Tribolium castaneum: one gene and its partner. The protein of the gene in region 1 purifies or fractionates together with the protein of each later gene. This does not show direct contact. Links are inferred from orthologs where the notes say so. Each region holds a gene or a part of one and is shown in the gene's direction. Other genes may lie near its edges.

What was found.
Region 2: the proteins of Asph (region 1) and leucine-rich repeat-containing protein 59 purify together in Homo sapiens (co-immunoprecipitation; 3 studies listed by BioGRID and IntAct, with this or other methods). This does not show direct contact. The link is inferred for Tribolium castaneum from reciprocal best matches to the Homo sapiens genes ASPH and LRRC59.

The regions. Positions count from the first base shown.
Region 1 is NC_087403.1:496,750-505,673, reverse strand, and holds the start of Asph (aspartyl/asparaginyl beta-hydroxylase), read left to right. Parts: upstream 1-4,290; 5' UTR 4,291-4,502; intron 4,503-8,924. Other genes in the region: mav (bone morphogenetic protein 7), read left to right, coding at 1,868-2,628.
Region 2 is NC_087394.1:31,263,872-31,271,594, forward strand, and holds leucine-rich repeat-containing protein 59, read left to right. Parts: upstream 1-3,006; 5' UTR 3,007-3,061; coding exon 3,062-3,157; intron 3,158-3,210; coding exon 3,211-3,270; intron 3,271-3,328; coding exon 3,329-4,174; 3' UTR 4,175-4,214; downstream 4,215-7,723. Other genes in the region: DDB1- and CUL4-associated factor 11, read right to left, coding at 1-1, 54-232, 280-426, 475-634, 686-790, 2,113-2,203, 2,410-2,534; alpha-L-fucosidase, read left to right, coding at 5,957-6,161, 6,207-6,345, 6,396-6,502, 6,555-7,372, 7,421-7,525.

The DNA.
Region 1 (8,924 bases):
GAGTTCAAGATCTGTTATAGATGATATGTTCCGGGGCTCCAAAATGTGCTATTTTTAAAACTTTCCACGAATATTCCCATATAAAGTACGATTTAAATAGGAACCCACAGAATGATTCTTAAAGTAGACCGAAAATAAATAAACGCAGAGCCCACGTCTTGTGAATCACGATTGATACAAGAGAAAAAGTACAAATTATCAACAATATTGGGCAAAAATTCCCCAAAATGACAATGTTTCTATTTTTTAATAAGTATGGTTTTTGCGAATTGAAACACCTATATATTTTCATAGAAACAGTAGTTATATGTCTCTAGGATCCTTAAAACTGTAAAGAACGTTAAATTTTTGGTTTTGATTTTTTAATAACACAATTCGGAACTTGAAACCTTAAACGGTTTCAAAAGGCATTTTAATTGTTTTTTATTAAAAAAATTCATAACTCGAAAACTAAAATCTGTAGAGCAAAATAGCGATTGTTCCAGCGGATTCTACGGTTCATGTTGCGTATGAGGTTCCACAAAATTTTAAATTTTGAAAGTTTTTGTGTCAAATTAAAAATAATAATAATAATAATAATAATAATAATAATAATAATAATAATAATAATAATTTTTAAAATTTGTTGCTTTAACAAAGTTTTATGGACTCTTCTATGCCTTTAGAACCCTCTCGAGTTTTTAAAAGAGCAAAAAAGTTAATTGCTTCGATTTTTTTAAGTTTGGTTGTTCTAATGTTTGTCAAGATATCGCTTGATTTTTAGTTCCCGGAACATTTATTGGGTAATAGCTCTGGAATTATATTAAACGTAACTCTTAAGTTTATTATCGTTGGAAAAATCATTGTTCATTAATAGTTTTAGAGAAGATTGCAAACAAAGCCAAAATAAGTAAAATAAAAAAAATACTTTAAAACTATTGAGAATCTGGCTATTTATTTGACGCCAATCAATTCCCCGGATCATCCTACGTAGGCTTATTACATCAAAATAGTTCCACTCTCAAAACCGATTAAAACCCATCCTATCTTTTTGAAGTGCCGTTTACAAAAAAATAAGACGTTTTTTCTAGTTCATTTAGTTTCGCCGTAATCAGGGTTTACCGTCTCGTAGAGCTTTTTAAACCGGTTCAAATAGAACTTGACATTTTTTGATAACACCAATAGTTTCGTCGAAATCGATGCTTGAAATGTCAAAAAAACAAAATTTCAACATATTTTTGGTGTTTTTCTTGGACACTATAAAAGCAAAAATCAAAAAAGTATCATAATGTGGTTGACATTATCTATCTTGTGAAAACCCGGAGCAGCTCCGTGCAACGGTTCCGACTACAAAGACTTTTTAATTTTTTTTACTGAAAAATTTATATCTCGAAAACTAAATCCATAGAGAAAACGGTTTGTTATAACTCGAAAACTAGAAGTCATAAAGCATAACTGTTTGTTCCAGCGATTTCTACGGTTCGTTTTACGCATTATTACCAGAGTTCTACAAAATTAAAAATTACAAATTTAAAAAAAAAAATTTTTGTACTTATAACGTTTAGAGAGCTTACAAAAAATATTGTACCTAACTTGTTTGTAAAGCATTTTTTCACATTCGCACTTCAAAAAAGGCAACCGCTTCGATTTTTTGTTGTTTGATTTTTCTAATTTTTGGCGAGATTTTGGTCGGTTTTCGGAACATTTATCGGACAATAACTCCGGAACTAGTAGACGTAATAATAACCCATTAAGTTTACTATCGTTGGAAAGCTCTTTTATTTATCTATCTTTGTCAAAAAAGCAAAAAAGATCATTGTTCTGTGACTAACAGTTTTCGAGAAGAATACCTAAAATGATTAAATAATGAATTTTTCGTTTTTTCTAGTGAAGAGGGACTGGTGGCCGCGTCTGAAGTTTCCCATGCGCCCCCAGCGTGTGGAGGTGGAAGGCGCCCAACTCCACGTCCTTGCCCCCGCAACGGGCAACCAAACGTCCCTCCGCGTCCAAGTGACTCAAATTCTGAGTGCGCGACGTCGTCGCGTTATCGAAGAAAAACTGATCCACCTGTCGCCAACTCTGCCAAAATGGTGCGAATTCGAAGTGACAAGTGCAGTGCAATCTTGGCTGAACGGCGAGAGGAACCTAGGTTTAGAGTTAGTTTGCCCCGAGTGTAGAAATAACTACTTGAAGCCGCTGCAAGCCGCTGTTAGTGCTTTAGTGCACCCCGAACACAGACGCTCAAAACGCGCATCCCCTTACCAGTCCCTGCGTCGGACGGACTGCAGGAAGCTGCGGAAGGGGGCCCGGAGGGTCTGCTGCCGGCACGACATGGAAGTGACCTTCTCCAAGCTGCGGTTCATCGAAATGGGGTCCATTGTGCAGCCCAAGTCCTATGACGCGGGGTTCTGCCAGGGACAGTGCCCCCCTAACTTCAACTACGCAACCAACCACTCCCGGATACAGAGTCTCCTGCACCAGATGGAGTGGAAGACAGGGAAGAGGAACCGCAGGGCGGTCCCCAAGGCCTGCTGCGCCCCCTCGAAGCTGGAGCCCCTCGAAATACTGAGGGTTAACCCCAGCGACACCACGAAACTTATCGTGGAGAAATGGGATAATATGCAAGTGGTAGAATGCGCGTGTTCCTAGTACAGACAATGCCAAAGACATTTAGGAAAAATTTACGGGTCAATTTAGCATTTCTGCATCAATTATCAACTCTTAAGTTACTGTGATATTAATTGTATTCTATTTATCGATCATCTCTCAGTTATTTATAATTTCTCATCTAAAGTAGCCTAAAAGTATTATTTTAACTCATCTTTTTATATTTAATTTAATGTTAATGTATTGATGTACTGATGAGTGATGACGTTTACCAGTTTTGCACACTTTAGTTTTATTTCACCCTTCCCTTGACACGAATCGAATTGCCTTTATCACTACTTTCGATTTGTTGTGTTGTAATTCTGATAAGAAAAGCTATAAATAGTGTAACATTTTGCAATGGCGACGAGCCAGGTGAATCAAGAGAAAACTATATTTTTATTTTGTTTACTAAATTTTTCGCATACAAGGGCAGAAACTCAGAACCAAAAAACACAAAAATTAATTCTCTTCGCTTTAACCTTGTTTTTAATTTTTGCAAAAAATAGTCTTCTACTACGGCATCATTTTGCTTTGGAAATTTTAAACCAACAAGCCGCCACTGATAACACTGGTCTGCAAAAAAATAATTTTTCCCTTCTATCCGTAATTATGATTATTATAAATTTCTGAATCAAAAAATAATAACGAAAATTATGTATCACATAAACTTTTTTTGTAATAGATTTTTGTAGAAACCATTGGTCTTACTTGAAAATTTAATGATTGCGACAATCATTTACAACAAACTTTCCAAAATACTTAAAATTATTAAAAAAAAATTCTGTTGTAATTTCTTTCCATTCCACAGTTTTCATTAAAGTTTCAACCAACAAAAATGCTGTCTGACAATCTTCTGGTTATTTCCCGTTGTATTGTCTCTCATTTATCTTGATAAAACATTTCTTCATTTCAACACTTTGTTTTCAATTTTGTTATGTTATTTGTTAAAATCTCAAACTGAGAAAGTAAGTCGTTTGTTAAGGTAGTTTAACTAAAATAAAGCTCTGCTTTCGTGAGAAATTGAAAAACTATAGCATTATAAAGTAAAAACATTAAGAAATTGGAAATCTAAAATTATAAGATAATGAAACCAAGAAGACCTAAAAAATTTAGGAAATTAAGAAACTAAAAAGCTGAAAAATATTGAAAAAAATAAAATTTGTGTGACTGAAATAATAAGAAAGTTTGAGATTGCAAAACTATTAAATTGAAATATCAGATGTTTTTCTACCAAAATGAAATCCTATTTAAATTAGAAAGTTTAAACACAACTTTATAGAAAATAAGTCAATTTAGGAAATCAAGAAAAATAAAATTGTGTCAAATATTGACATTTTTCACGAATCAGAGTTACTTTCAGTTTCAAGAGAAGCCTTAAAAATTACGTGTTATAGAAGTTTCCTAAGATACGGTCTTTATTTATAGGGAGAAAAAAATTTTGGAATATTTTTTTTCAATAAAGTTTTCAGCTTTTTTACCTTCTCATCAACTAAAATCGTTCGGTAGTATAAAAAAGCAAGTAGTATTAGGAATCTGAAATATTTAAAAAAAAGCCGCTCAAATAAATCAATCTGTAGAGGGCAGCACGTCCCGCCCCGAACCGCGCTGTCAGTGTAGAATCCTACATCTGATTTTTTCTAATGTTTATTTATATTTTGTTGTTATAACAAATTTAATTTGTGTTTGACCGCAAAAAACTTTTGTCTCAACTGTATTTTTATTTGCCTACTAGTTTTGTAAAATCATGTTTGAGAAGTGCTGAAGCGTTTGCTTTAAACTGTATAATTTGAGTTTTTCCCTATTTAGGTAAAAAAATAATGATTTGCAATAAAAGTGGGAAAGCCAATGATACATCTTAGGATAATTAACTCCAGGTAAGTGGTGATGATCTGCAAAAATTATATAACATAACCTCACATTATGTAAGCAAGGTAACGATGGTTACTCAACTTTTTTCGAATTAATTTTTCAAAAAAAAAACACTCCATTTTTTTGACTAGTGAATGGTTATGATTATGAAAGTTTGTGGAGGTGGGTAACTGATAAGTGATAATATTTGTCGCCACGATGATAATATTAGAAATATATTTTCTAAATATATATATAACCATACACTAGTCAAAAAAATGGAGTGTTTTTTTTTTGAAAAATTAATTCGAAAAAAGTTGAGTAACCATCGGCTTACATAATATATATTACAGAAATAATATATATATATATATATATTATATATATATATATATATATATATATATATATATATATATATATATATATATATATATATATATATATATATATATATATATATAAACATAAATTTACGTTAAAAATTTATTTAATTTAATAACTTAACTAATTTTCTAATTTAACTATTCCTATGTTGGGGCTCTTAAAATTTAAATATTAATTTAGTTTATATTTAATTGAGTTGCGCCGCTACAGAAACCTGTAATTCAACCAAGGATGGAATAACGGTTCAACTGCAACACACGAGGGGGAACCCTTGTACTGATTTGTGCAAAATATTCTGTGGAAAAAAATAAAACAAAAAAAGGACGGTATTTTGGAACACTCTGTACATCGTTTTTTTAATTTGAATTGACATTTGAAATGTCAGATTGAATTCCTTTATATATATTCTTTTATATTTTCGTTTTTTTTTTTAATTTGAGGCCAATGAGCCAATCAATGCCTAACACAATTTTAAAAATGTAAATGTAAAATGTAGACCCAAAACGACGATCTTTTAAAAATATGGCCTTTTGAAAAAGTGCTACTTAAAAAATGACAAACGCAATAATTATGTTTTTCAGAAAGCAAATTATCTTGATTCCATATTTGTGTTGACCTGTTTTTTTAGCTCAATTTTTAACTTTAGATTTTTTCTTAAAATTGAATGTTCTATCACCTGTTTAAATTTGTAACAATGAAGACGGAACACATTAATTATTATTGTTTTTCTTTTCCATTTGTATGGATTGTATATGTATTGTACTGATTGTATATCAGTTTTATAATTCTTCTCATTTTTTTAGTTTATTTGTATTTCAGGTTTTTAGTTTCTCAGCGTTAATGCTACTTACTTTGAATGTCAGTTTTTGAATGTAACTTTACTTTCTAGGGGGAAATAATAGTTGTATATTAAATTATTTTTTAACGTTGCCTTTTAATTCTGAAGATTCACAAGGACTTACAAAAGCACAACATTATTTTAATGTGGCCATTTTAACAAACGACTTACTTTCTCTCTTTTAAAGTTTAGTAAATAGCATAATAAAATTAGTTAGTGACAAACTAAGACTTACAGTGAGATGAATTCTTACAAAAAAAACTAACGAATTTTACACCAGTAAATTCAAAACAATTTAGGTTCAACGATTATTCTTTATTGCTTTTCTTTGTGCAACAGAAAATTTTAAGTTTTTTCCAAAACATATTTAGTTTTGTTTGCAATAAAAATTGTGTTTTTGGTATTTTTGCTGTAGAAATGAAAAAAAAAATGTATACTAGATTACCATATTTTAACACCTAATTTCTGTTTTTTCGACTTTGTTTGACTTCTAAATAAAGTTTTTAACCTCATAAAAATCCATTTTTTATAAATTTATATCGAATTTATTTTATTACACAAGAATAATAACAACACTCTGTGTCTGTGCAGTTTATAGTTTTTTTGTTGAACAGAGAATGTACATTTATTTATTAATTTTTTTATTTAATTGTGGACAAATGCTTAACTCACTTTAAAAATTGAAATGTAAAACAGGACAATTTTTGAACGATCGAAACTCTAATTAAGTTGTTTAATTATTTTATTGTTTTCACAGTTACTTCAATAGTCATTGAAAAATAGCATTGCATTTGTTGATATAACCTAGTTTTTATTTGTTTATTAATTACTAGCCCAGCCTGCAAATGAACTAAGTTAGATTTAACGAAAACATCGCAGCGGTACTTTTATGATTTTCGATCAACGATCATCCAGAGTGAGAGCCACTTATCAGTTGCAGTTTAAAAATAACCAATCATTCCTAGCCAATTTATCAAATGAGCGACGTTTTATTGAAGGAGTCGTTAATTTTCTATTCGATTATCGAGTCCCAACCCCAGCACTTATAGATGTGATTGATCGGTTTTCAATCTGTAATTCGAAAATGCCGAAATTTCTAATTCAATCAGCCCGTTTTGTAATTTCGAGCATTGTTTGTTACAAGGCGGGAAAAAATCCGATGTTGTTTTAATAAGCGTCCAGATAGTCACGGAGCGTGTCGGGGCAGTTAAGTGGACAGTGGTCATTTTACGCAACCCACCCCCAAATCAACAAAATCGCCCGACATCTGGCCTCTTCACGGATCGTAAACTTAACAATCACGAATTGTTGTCGATTCTAAATCAGATTTTTCCATTCAGAAATGACGTTCGCATATTTATTTTCATTATTGTTTTCGCCTAATGGCGTCAATGCGGCGATTAGTGAACTTTATGAATTCATAACTTAGTGTGAAACCCCAAAGAAAAGGTGCCGATTCGAATTTGAATTTAATTGCGACGATTGAACACTGGACGAACCCTTCTTACTTTACATTTGACACAATTAAAACGCTCGACTCGAACCGAGGGGTCGTTTTTTTGGCATTTTGCATTATTCGATGACATGCTCTTGACATTTGTATTTATTATTCTCTGGATTTAAACGGAACAATATATTTTAATTGCGGGGCACTTTCGAAAATATTAACCACGCTTTAAATGCGAACTTCATTTACATTAAGCAAACACCAAGGCCTGGAGTGAATAATCGACTTTCAAGAGGATGATCGCGTGCCCAGTGGTCAACTGCTCCCTAGGGGACCCTGCCTTTAGACCAACTGGGCCTAACACTAAATCCTTCCCATTTGTAACCAATTCGAACCAAAAATTAATCGCTCTGATTGACTCCCAATCTAATTCATTATATAATTTTATATTATATTATATTATATTATATTATATTATATATAATTTTCGAGCGTTTTAGTACATTTTTCGGTCAAAAACTCATAAATTTGACATACATTTGTTGAAAGTCGAAAATGACATTTTTTTTTTTTATTAGCTGTATCTTGCTTTTGAACGAGGAATTCAATCTTTTGGTCTGATGGGAGGATTTTTGTTAAAACATTCTAAAAAAATGTCCACATTACGTCACTTTTTCGTTTCACCCAAAAATTTAAATGACATTACATTGGCTTTTGTGATTAGATTTGTTTTTTTTAGTAATAATTCACTATGTACCTTCAAAGAGGTGAAAAAAAAATTTTTTAAAGTTAAAAGTCCACAAAAAGTCCATATGTTCGATTTTTTGATGTTTGATTTTTTCAATTTTCGTCGCAGTTTTTGTCGGTTTTGGGTACCCGGAACATTTCTCGAGCAATAGCTCCGGAACTATTAGAGATAACTCCATGAAGTGTATTATCGTTGGAAAGCTCTTTAAATTATCTATTTTTTTCAAAAAAGATTATTGTTCTCTGACTAATAGTTTTCGAGCAAACTGCTGCTAAATGCAAAAATTGGTAAAATTTTAAAAAATTCATAACTAAAAAACTATTGGGAATTTGGCAATTTTCTCGATGCCAATCGATTCCCCGGATCATTTTGCATAGGTATGGATCAAAACAGTTCCACTTTTTAGAATAGTTTAGCCGTAAATGATAAAATAAAAAAAATTAAAAAAAAGTTAACACCCCCCCCCTTAGAAATCGGTCAATTTTAAAGTGTCTCAAAATCAAATAAAACCAATTCTATTTTATAGATTTCGATGTGCTCTTTCCGATCTAAAAAAGCGTTTTCTCCTAGCTCTTTTAGTTTGGCCGTAATCGGCGTTTGAAAATTGAAAAATTTTTTGCGAGATATCGCCTTGAGTCCTATGCCATTTTGTAGAGTTTTTTATTCCGGTTATCCTCCATTTTTCCGTTTCTCGATAACTCTAATAGTTTCGCCGTAATTAGCGATTGAAAATTGAAAAAAAGTGAAAATGGAAACCTTTTTTTGCGTTTTTCTCGGAAACTGTAAGACTTAGAGCAACGAACAAAAAACCATCTGATAGCGCTTAATTTTCTCTATTTTTTCGATTAAACCCGGAGCCGCTCCGGGCAACGGTTCCGGCTACAGAGGCGATCAAAGTTTTTCACTAAAAAAATTCATAAAAAAAAAACTAAAAGTCGTAGAGCATTGCGGTTTGTTCGATTGAATTCTACGGCTCATTTTACATATTATATCAATTTTTCACAAGAATTAAAAATTTAAAATTTTTT
Region 2 (7,723 bases), on another chromosome or scaffold:
TCTATATACAAACAGCAAGTCGGAGATTTTTACGCAAGTGTCGCCTTATTCACCTTTAGCGTCCGCCCGCGCCTCTGGAGATCGTAAATGTACAAGGAACCGTCGTTGGCACCGCACAGGAACTCCTTGCCGTCGGACGAGAATACGACGGAAAAGACGCAGAAACGGCGACTGGTGTTGGTGAGAGAGAGGGGCTCCTGGTGGCTGCTCTCGTTCACGGAACATAAATGTACTAGAATTGAACGCAATCACGACTTTTCCCCACAGGGGGAGACTTACAAGACGACGACCAAGTCGAATACACGAACTGGTTCTGGTCGGGACTTATTGCAACGTCTATTATACTCCAACCTATGTCTCTTGCACTCAGAGTATTGAACAGTTTGTAGGACGCATCGTCCGACTTGTATAATCGGATTTGTCGATCTGCAATGTTTCAAACTCATTTCGGGAAAAACAACCAATCTGTTAAACCTTGAGACGCGGTTATGAACATTTTCCCATCTTTCGAGAAAATACCACAAAACACTTTCCCATTGTAAAAAGACAACACCGACATACTATTTGGCAAAAACCTATTGCTTAGTCTACATTTTTCGGCGTATGAAAAGTTCCTATAAGAACACACGCCTTTCTAAAATTGTATTATGACAGTCAGGTCTTTTAAAATTGCCAGATAACTTACTTCTCTATTTAAAACCATATCTGATATATTCTGCGAAGACGTAATTTTTCGGCTTTGTTGTCCTAAACCTGAAGCCATTTTGGTCGACAATGAAAATTCGCTTTTCTAAAATAATAATAAGAAAACAATTAGAAACGTATATTAGATCAGATTTTTGTGTTTATTTTGTTTTCTTCCGTATCATTCAAAATGTTGATAAAAAACGAATGATTAAACAACGTTACTCAGCAATTTTGCAAACCGATGCAAGAGAGCATTGACGAAATGATGTCATTTGCGTGTACACCTATCTGGTAAAATTTCTTCCAAGAATTTCATTAATTCTCCAACAAACAAAGGTATAAACTACCCATTACAATGCAGTTTAAAACAAATAATTAATGATGAAACATGCACTCATACTCCGATATTAACGTAACTCCAAAATTAAAGGCAAAGGACGAAGACTAAAAAAAAAGAATTCAAAGATATTTACACTCAACCATTATTATTTTCGTAAAAAACGACATTCTACATAAATATGAGCTATAATTTTTTCATTTACTCTTTCCATTTCTTTTAAGATATTGAATAACAAAAACTATTATCAAAACTCATTGAAATTTGGTATATGCTTAAGAGTATATGAATTCTACAAGGCTAACTTGATTTTTTTCAATGGCAACAAGGGTCATATTTAATATTTTTAAATAATATTTTTTTCTGAGTTAAAATAGGTAAAAGTTAAAAATAATTGTTAAAATAATTGAAAAAGAACACATTTTAATTAAAAAATATTCAAAATGTTTCCAACAAACTTCTTGGGATTCTGTCGCCATGAGCAACCAACATGAATTTTTTTCCCTCAGTTTTACTTAAATGTACCATTGTTAACCTATTTATTGCACGCAAGTTTAATTTTTGGCTAATATACAAATGTCAGATCGCAAATAACAGTATTTTCAAAGCTACTTTTCCAGAAATCCAGAAATGAATTTTTGAATTTTTATTTTTTTACCTTTTAATAAAAATAAAGGTGGATATTCGTGCCATTAAAAAAAATTAAGTTAGCCTTCTATTTTCAAAATAAATGACGATAGAGATTTAAAAAACCTCTCAAATGATAGAATTTAAACATTTTTAACTGTTTCCCTAATTTCAAGGTTTTCTGTTAAACCGTTCTGAAAATATTTAACTGTATCCATACTTTTTAGCGACCCTGTATAAATGTATTAATAGAGATTTTTGGGAAATAATCTCTTTAAAGAATTAGCTGAAAGCCTCAACTAAAGGAAATGAAAATTTTGAAGCTAACTATTTTTTATTTAAAGGGAAATTAAAACAAAAAAATGTAAAATGTAGTAATGTAGTATACATAAAAAGTTTAGGGGATTTACCGGAGACTAGGTAGTACTCAGTCTGAAAATAAAAATTATAAAATTACTTACATCAAGAATGGAAGTGTTTGGCTTAAATTTAATTTTTGGCACTTTGGGACCATCTGTGAGATAATCTGCGTCCATAATCTCCACTTGACCACTGAAAAAGTTGCACATTTATTACCCCTTTGACCAAAATAATAGGAAAAACGTAACAAACAATGAAAAAAAACCGGGTTTGTTTATGTAATTTGTACACGTTAAATCAATATCGTTCATTGTCGCGGAAAATAAATAATTCAGCCTGAATTTTACACTATATTTAGCAGCAAGTACAATGACATTTTCATGGAAGAATTCTCTCACCTATTTATCAAACTTTGCAGCAAGGCTGCATACTGATGTTCAGTCTCGTAATCAGAATCGTCTTCGGACCCAGATCTCGAGTTCAGATCATTTTCTTCCATTCTCCTCGAAGTGTAAGATCCCATGGAATGTAGGGGTTGAAATTTTCACTCAGGACCGTAACAACACCTCATATATGCACCATAATACGGTCATGTAACGTGGTTACTTAACCGCTTACACAAACACTAAACAAAAATCGGTGGAAAGCACTAATGAAACGCAAAATTTTCCGAAATATTTTGCCAATTAAAAATGACAATATTTTGACAAAATGCGCATCACGTTGACGCAACCACTCAGGATTGCCAAAACATCGCTAATAAATTAAAACTAATCGACTTTCATTTTCACTCTTGAATTATTGCACATATAATACGTTTTGACCCAAAATGAGTGTTACATAATAATTTGGGCTAAAGGAAACTGGTTTCGCCACTTTCTCCCTGCCTTTGGTGACTTAGCGAGCGATTTTGGCACCACTGCGCGATTGTCACGTTGACAGTTGCGTTTTCGTGGAAGTGGAGCAGTGACGTGGATTTTCAATTCTTGGTTAGTTTTCTATTTTTCTATTAATTGATAACATAAACTCGTAAGATTATTACGATTTGCAATGGCACCGTCAAAAATCAATGTAAAAGAGCGCGTTTCTGATGGAGAAATTGACCTTAGCATGTCAGATTTACAAGATGTTCCTGTTAAAGAAATCGTAACGATGTTTCCACCTTAATTATGACATAAAAACGCCCCTTTGCTTTGCAGGCAGTGTTCAAGAAGGCCACCAGCTTGGACCTATCAAACAACCACTTGAAAACTTTGCCAGTAAGCGCCAAATCGTTGCTTCGAAAAGGCACAATTTCGCCATATTTTTGCGTTCCAGGGCAACTTCGCGACACTAACCCACCTAACGAAGCTCGATCTGAGCAAGAACCAGCTGAGCGAGCTACCGGAGGATTTCGGGGATTTGGTCAAGCTTAAGTATCTTGATTTGTACCAAAACCAACTGCAATACCTGCCTCTGAGCTTCCACAAGTTCAAGGCTCTGAAGTGGTTGGATTTGAAAGATAACCCCTTGGTGCCAGCGGTCGCCAAAGTCGCAGGGCCTTGTCTGGACGCCAAACAGTGTCAGAGTTGTGCAAAGGATGTTGTGAGTTTCTTCACTCAAGTGCAGGAGCAGATCGCTAATGATTTAGAAAGTCGGCAAAAGCAACGACAGAAGCAGCTTGAAGTGAATCAGAAACAAATGGATAACAACAAGAAGAGTAAAAAGAAGGAGAAGACCAAACAGAAAAAGGAAAACGGGCCTGTTAAAGAAAACCCGCCAAAGTTAGCGAACAAAAAGAATAAAAAAGCGCCACCTTCGCCGAAGAATACTGGAAAAGCGTCCTCTTTCATTAAATTGATTTTTACGTTATTATTTCTTACTTTGTCGGTTCTGTTTGTGTTAACTTCTGTAAAATATGAACGTACGCGTACTATTGAAAATTCTTGTGTAGACTTGTATTACAAGGCTGTTGATTCTTTGTCTCCTAATTTGAAGGTTTATGCAACCACTGTGGGGAGTTATGTGAGGTTTGCTCATGACAAAACTGGGAATGTTACACTTAATGTTGTGAATTATGTTAAAAATTCCGACAATTTTGTAAATGCATATGATACCTGTAGTAAGTATGTAGATACAATGGTCCAGAAAGTTAAAGAACAGTACAAGAAGATTGTTTCTTGAAAGTTCAGACATTCTTTTTGAATAAAAACTAAAAACCAAACGTTGTTTTATTAATTCAGTAACAAAATAAGTTAAAATTCCATTACCATAACCACAGCCCTAAGAGTTTTTCCAATAATTTTTAAATTTGTAACAAATCTATTCGACGACAAAAATTAATTCAAGTTAAATTACATAACAAAATAAATAACACTTTGCCCGGTTAGTTTGTATAATAAGTAAAAATGCATCTTTTATTTCGTATTTCCATATGGAACAGACCCTTGAGTGGTGAAATAATTTACAGAAGAATCTTCCGTAACTGACAAACTTCTAAATACTAGTGTGATACGAAGAACAAACTGCAAGTTGGGAATAGACGTATCAGGGGAATTTTTCAGGATGTTCGTTGACATTTCAAAGAATTTATAAAAAAAAATGTCCTTTAAACAGTCGTTGACTAGTAATGGCATTAACCCACACGTTTGTTTTTCATTTTTCTGCAATGTTAGAAAATTAAAAAGCACAAACATATCGGTCGCTAAAAGTGCAGAGCGCACAGTTAACTATTTCATTGGGTAACATTTAAATTGGTCTATTAAAAAATCGCTAGTGAGCAGAGGGCTATAAATAGAGCAATAATCAATCCAAATAAGTAGTAAATTTACGTACATTCCACCATCCCAGCAGTGTAAGTTTTTGTTTTATCTTAAATTTACGTTAAAATAACATTTGCATATTGGAGAAGCGTTTTAGAAACATTTGACTTACGATCATCTGCCTCCTTTTTTACCTACTGTTGCAGTCTCAATTTTGTATCACTTGTGTCCCAGCGAATTAGTGAAGTTAATTATGGAACTTTGAATGCTTGTTTTCAAGAATACAGTGTTTCAAAAGTGTTAATTCGTCAGATTTGCTCAATTTTAAAAATAATTTCACATAAAAAACTTTTTAAAAATTTACTAGGTACGATTGTATCTAAAAAAATATAAAATCTTCACTACATTAGAGCTTGTAGTAGTTTCAGGGACTACAAATATTTTTTTGATTTTACAATGAAACTTGAAAAATTAAAATGGAATACCCTTATCCTACTTTCTGCTTTTACAACATATGATAAAAAATATAGAATTGAGATGAAAACCCTAGTTGTTAGATTTTCTTGAAAACACCAAAGTTTCTTTGTTTACGACACAAAATACGTGTACCCGTTAAAGCAATAGTTAAACAAATAATGATTTTGATTAAAATAAAGTTGCTAAAGTTGACTGCAAGACAGATATGTGTCGAAGTACGAATGGACTAATGACAACAAAATTATAAAAACATCAAAAAATAAAAGACGGCACAACTGCAACATTTATCTTAAATTAAGTTCAGTAATTTATATTTTAATAAAACCATTTTTTAGAATATCGTATTATTTAGCTTACCAAAGCAACTCTCCTTCAACAAGACTCAGCAAGTCAACAATGGACAAAGTTTATTCATCTCGATCTTTTTTTTTAATAGTAGTAATCCTGTTAATAAAACAGGACGCAAAAAAATTAACGAAGGTTAACTAAACAAAAATAATGTAACTAGACTAGACAAAGCGATGGGACGTGCATTTTTAAGCTTTAAAGAATTCCACTCCATCCCTGCGTCCTGCACAGATTAGTTAATTTCTTGCCTCTAGCATATGAAACAAACAAGACTCTTACAGATAAGAAAACAATATTATATTTTTGATAACAACCGATCGCTCGTTGAGAACAAGTAGAAAACATTACAACAAACAACAGTGGTTCAAACGGTGCAATCATGGTCCAAACCGTTATCTTCACGTTGTTACTTTCGTGTGGATTACAATTTGCCTCAAGTGCAAAATATGAACCAACTTGGGACAGCCTCGACGGTCGCCCTTTGCCCGACTGGTACGACAAAGCCAAAGTCGGGATTTTCCTCCACTGGGGTGTTTACTCAGTGCCCAGTTTCGGGAGCGAATGGTTTTGGAGTCACTGGGAATGTAGGTACAAACCCCAGTTATAATAACTAAAATTTTTGCTTCCAGCGGGTGACGAAAAAACTGTCGAGTTTATTAAGAAAAACTACCCTCCAGACTGGACTTACCAAGACTTTGCCCAGCAATTTACCGCCGAATTTTACGACCCTTTCATGTGGGTGAACCTCTTTCTCAAATCCGGGGCCAAGTACGTTACACTAACGTACACAAAAAATCTAATGCTTGAATAATTATTAGGTACATAGTGCTAACGAGTAAACACCACGAAGGCTACACCCTGTGGCCGTCGAAATATTCCTACAGTTGGAACGCCAAAGATGTTGGGCCACACCTTGACCTTTTAGGTTGCAAGTTCTAAAAAAATAAAGGGTCTTGAAATTTGATTTGGAATTTTAGGTGAGCTTGCAAAGCGTGTCAAAGCCAGAGGGCTCCATTTCGGAGTTTACCACTCATTGTTCGAATGGTACCACCCTCTGTATCTGCAAGACAAAGCCAATGGCTGGAACAGCTCTAACTTCGTTGACACAAAAATAATCCCGGAAATGAAAGAACTGATCACCACTTACAAACCGGAGGTGCTTTGGTCTGACGGTGAATGGGAAGCCCCTGATACCTACTGGAAATCAAAGGAATTCCTCGCATGGCTTTACAACGAAAGCCCCGTCAAAGACGTTATCGTGGTTAACGACAGATGGGGAAACGACTCGTTGTGCACCCATGGCGGTTTTTACACTTGTTCTGATAGATACAACCCGGGACATTTGTTGCCACACAAGTGGGAAAACGCTATGACTGTGGACAAACCCTCATGGGGCTACAGAAGAAATGCAGTGATTTCCGACATTCTAACTCCCCATGAATTGATAACGACACTTGTAGAAACCGTTAGTTGCGGTGGAAACATTCTTATCAATGTTGGGCCGACCAAAGAAGGCACAATTTCGCCGATTTTCCAGGAGCGGTTAATGCAACTTGGTTCTTGGTTGTCCCTTAACGGGGACGCAATCTACGAGAGTAAGCCCTGGACTGCACAAAATGACACCTCCCCAAGTCCTATCTGGTACACAGCTAAGAACGAAACTGTCTACGCGATAGTGCTAGAATGGCCCAGTAAAAATGTAGTGTCCTTAGAGCATCCAGACATTATCACGTTTTTCACGCAAGCAAAACCAACGGTGACGCTTCTAGGAGATAATAAAAATAAAACTCTTTCGGTAATTTAATACAAAACCGATGGTTACATAAATAATAATTTGTTTCAGAGTGATTCAAGTGATACTCAAGTCACTGTGACTTTACCAGACAAAGCGACAGTTGCAAGTGAGTGGGCATGGGTTCTTAAAATGGTACCTACAAAGTCGATTTAAAATGTAGCTACAACAAATTTGAAGAAAAATATGTATTGTAACAAAATTAGATTTTTCCTGAATAAAGAATTACAGAAAACTGTTTTGTCTTTAAATTACACCTTCTATACATAATTTCAATTGTCCATATAATCCATACATTAAAAAAATACCTTCACAACTTCATTAAGAAAAAAAAACAAATCTAAAGACCTCTTT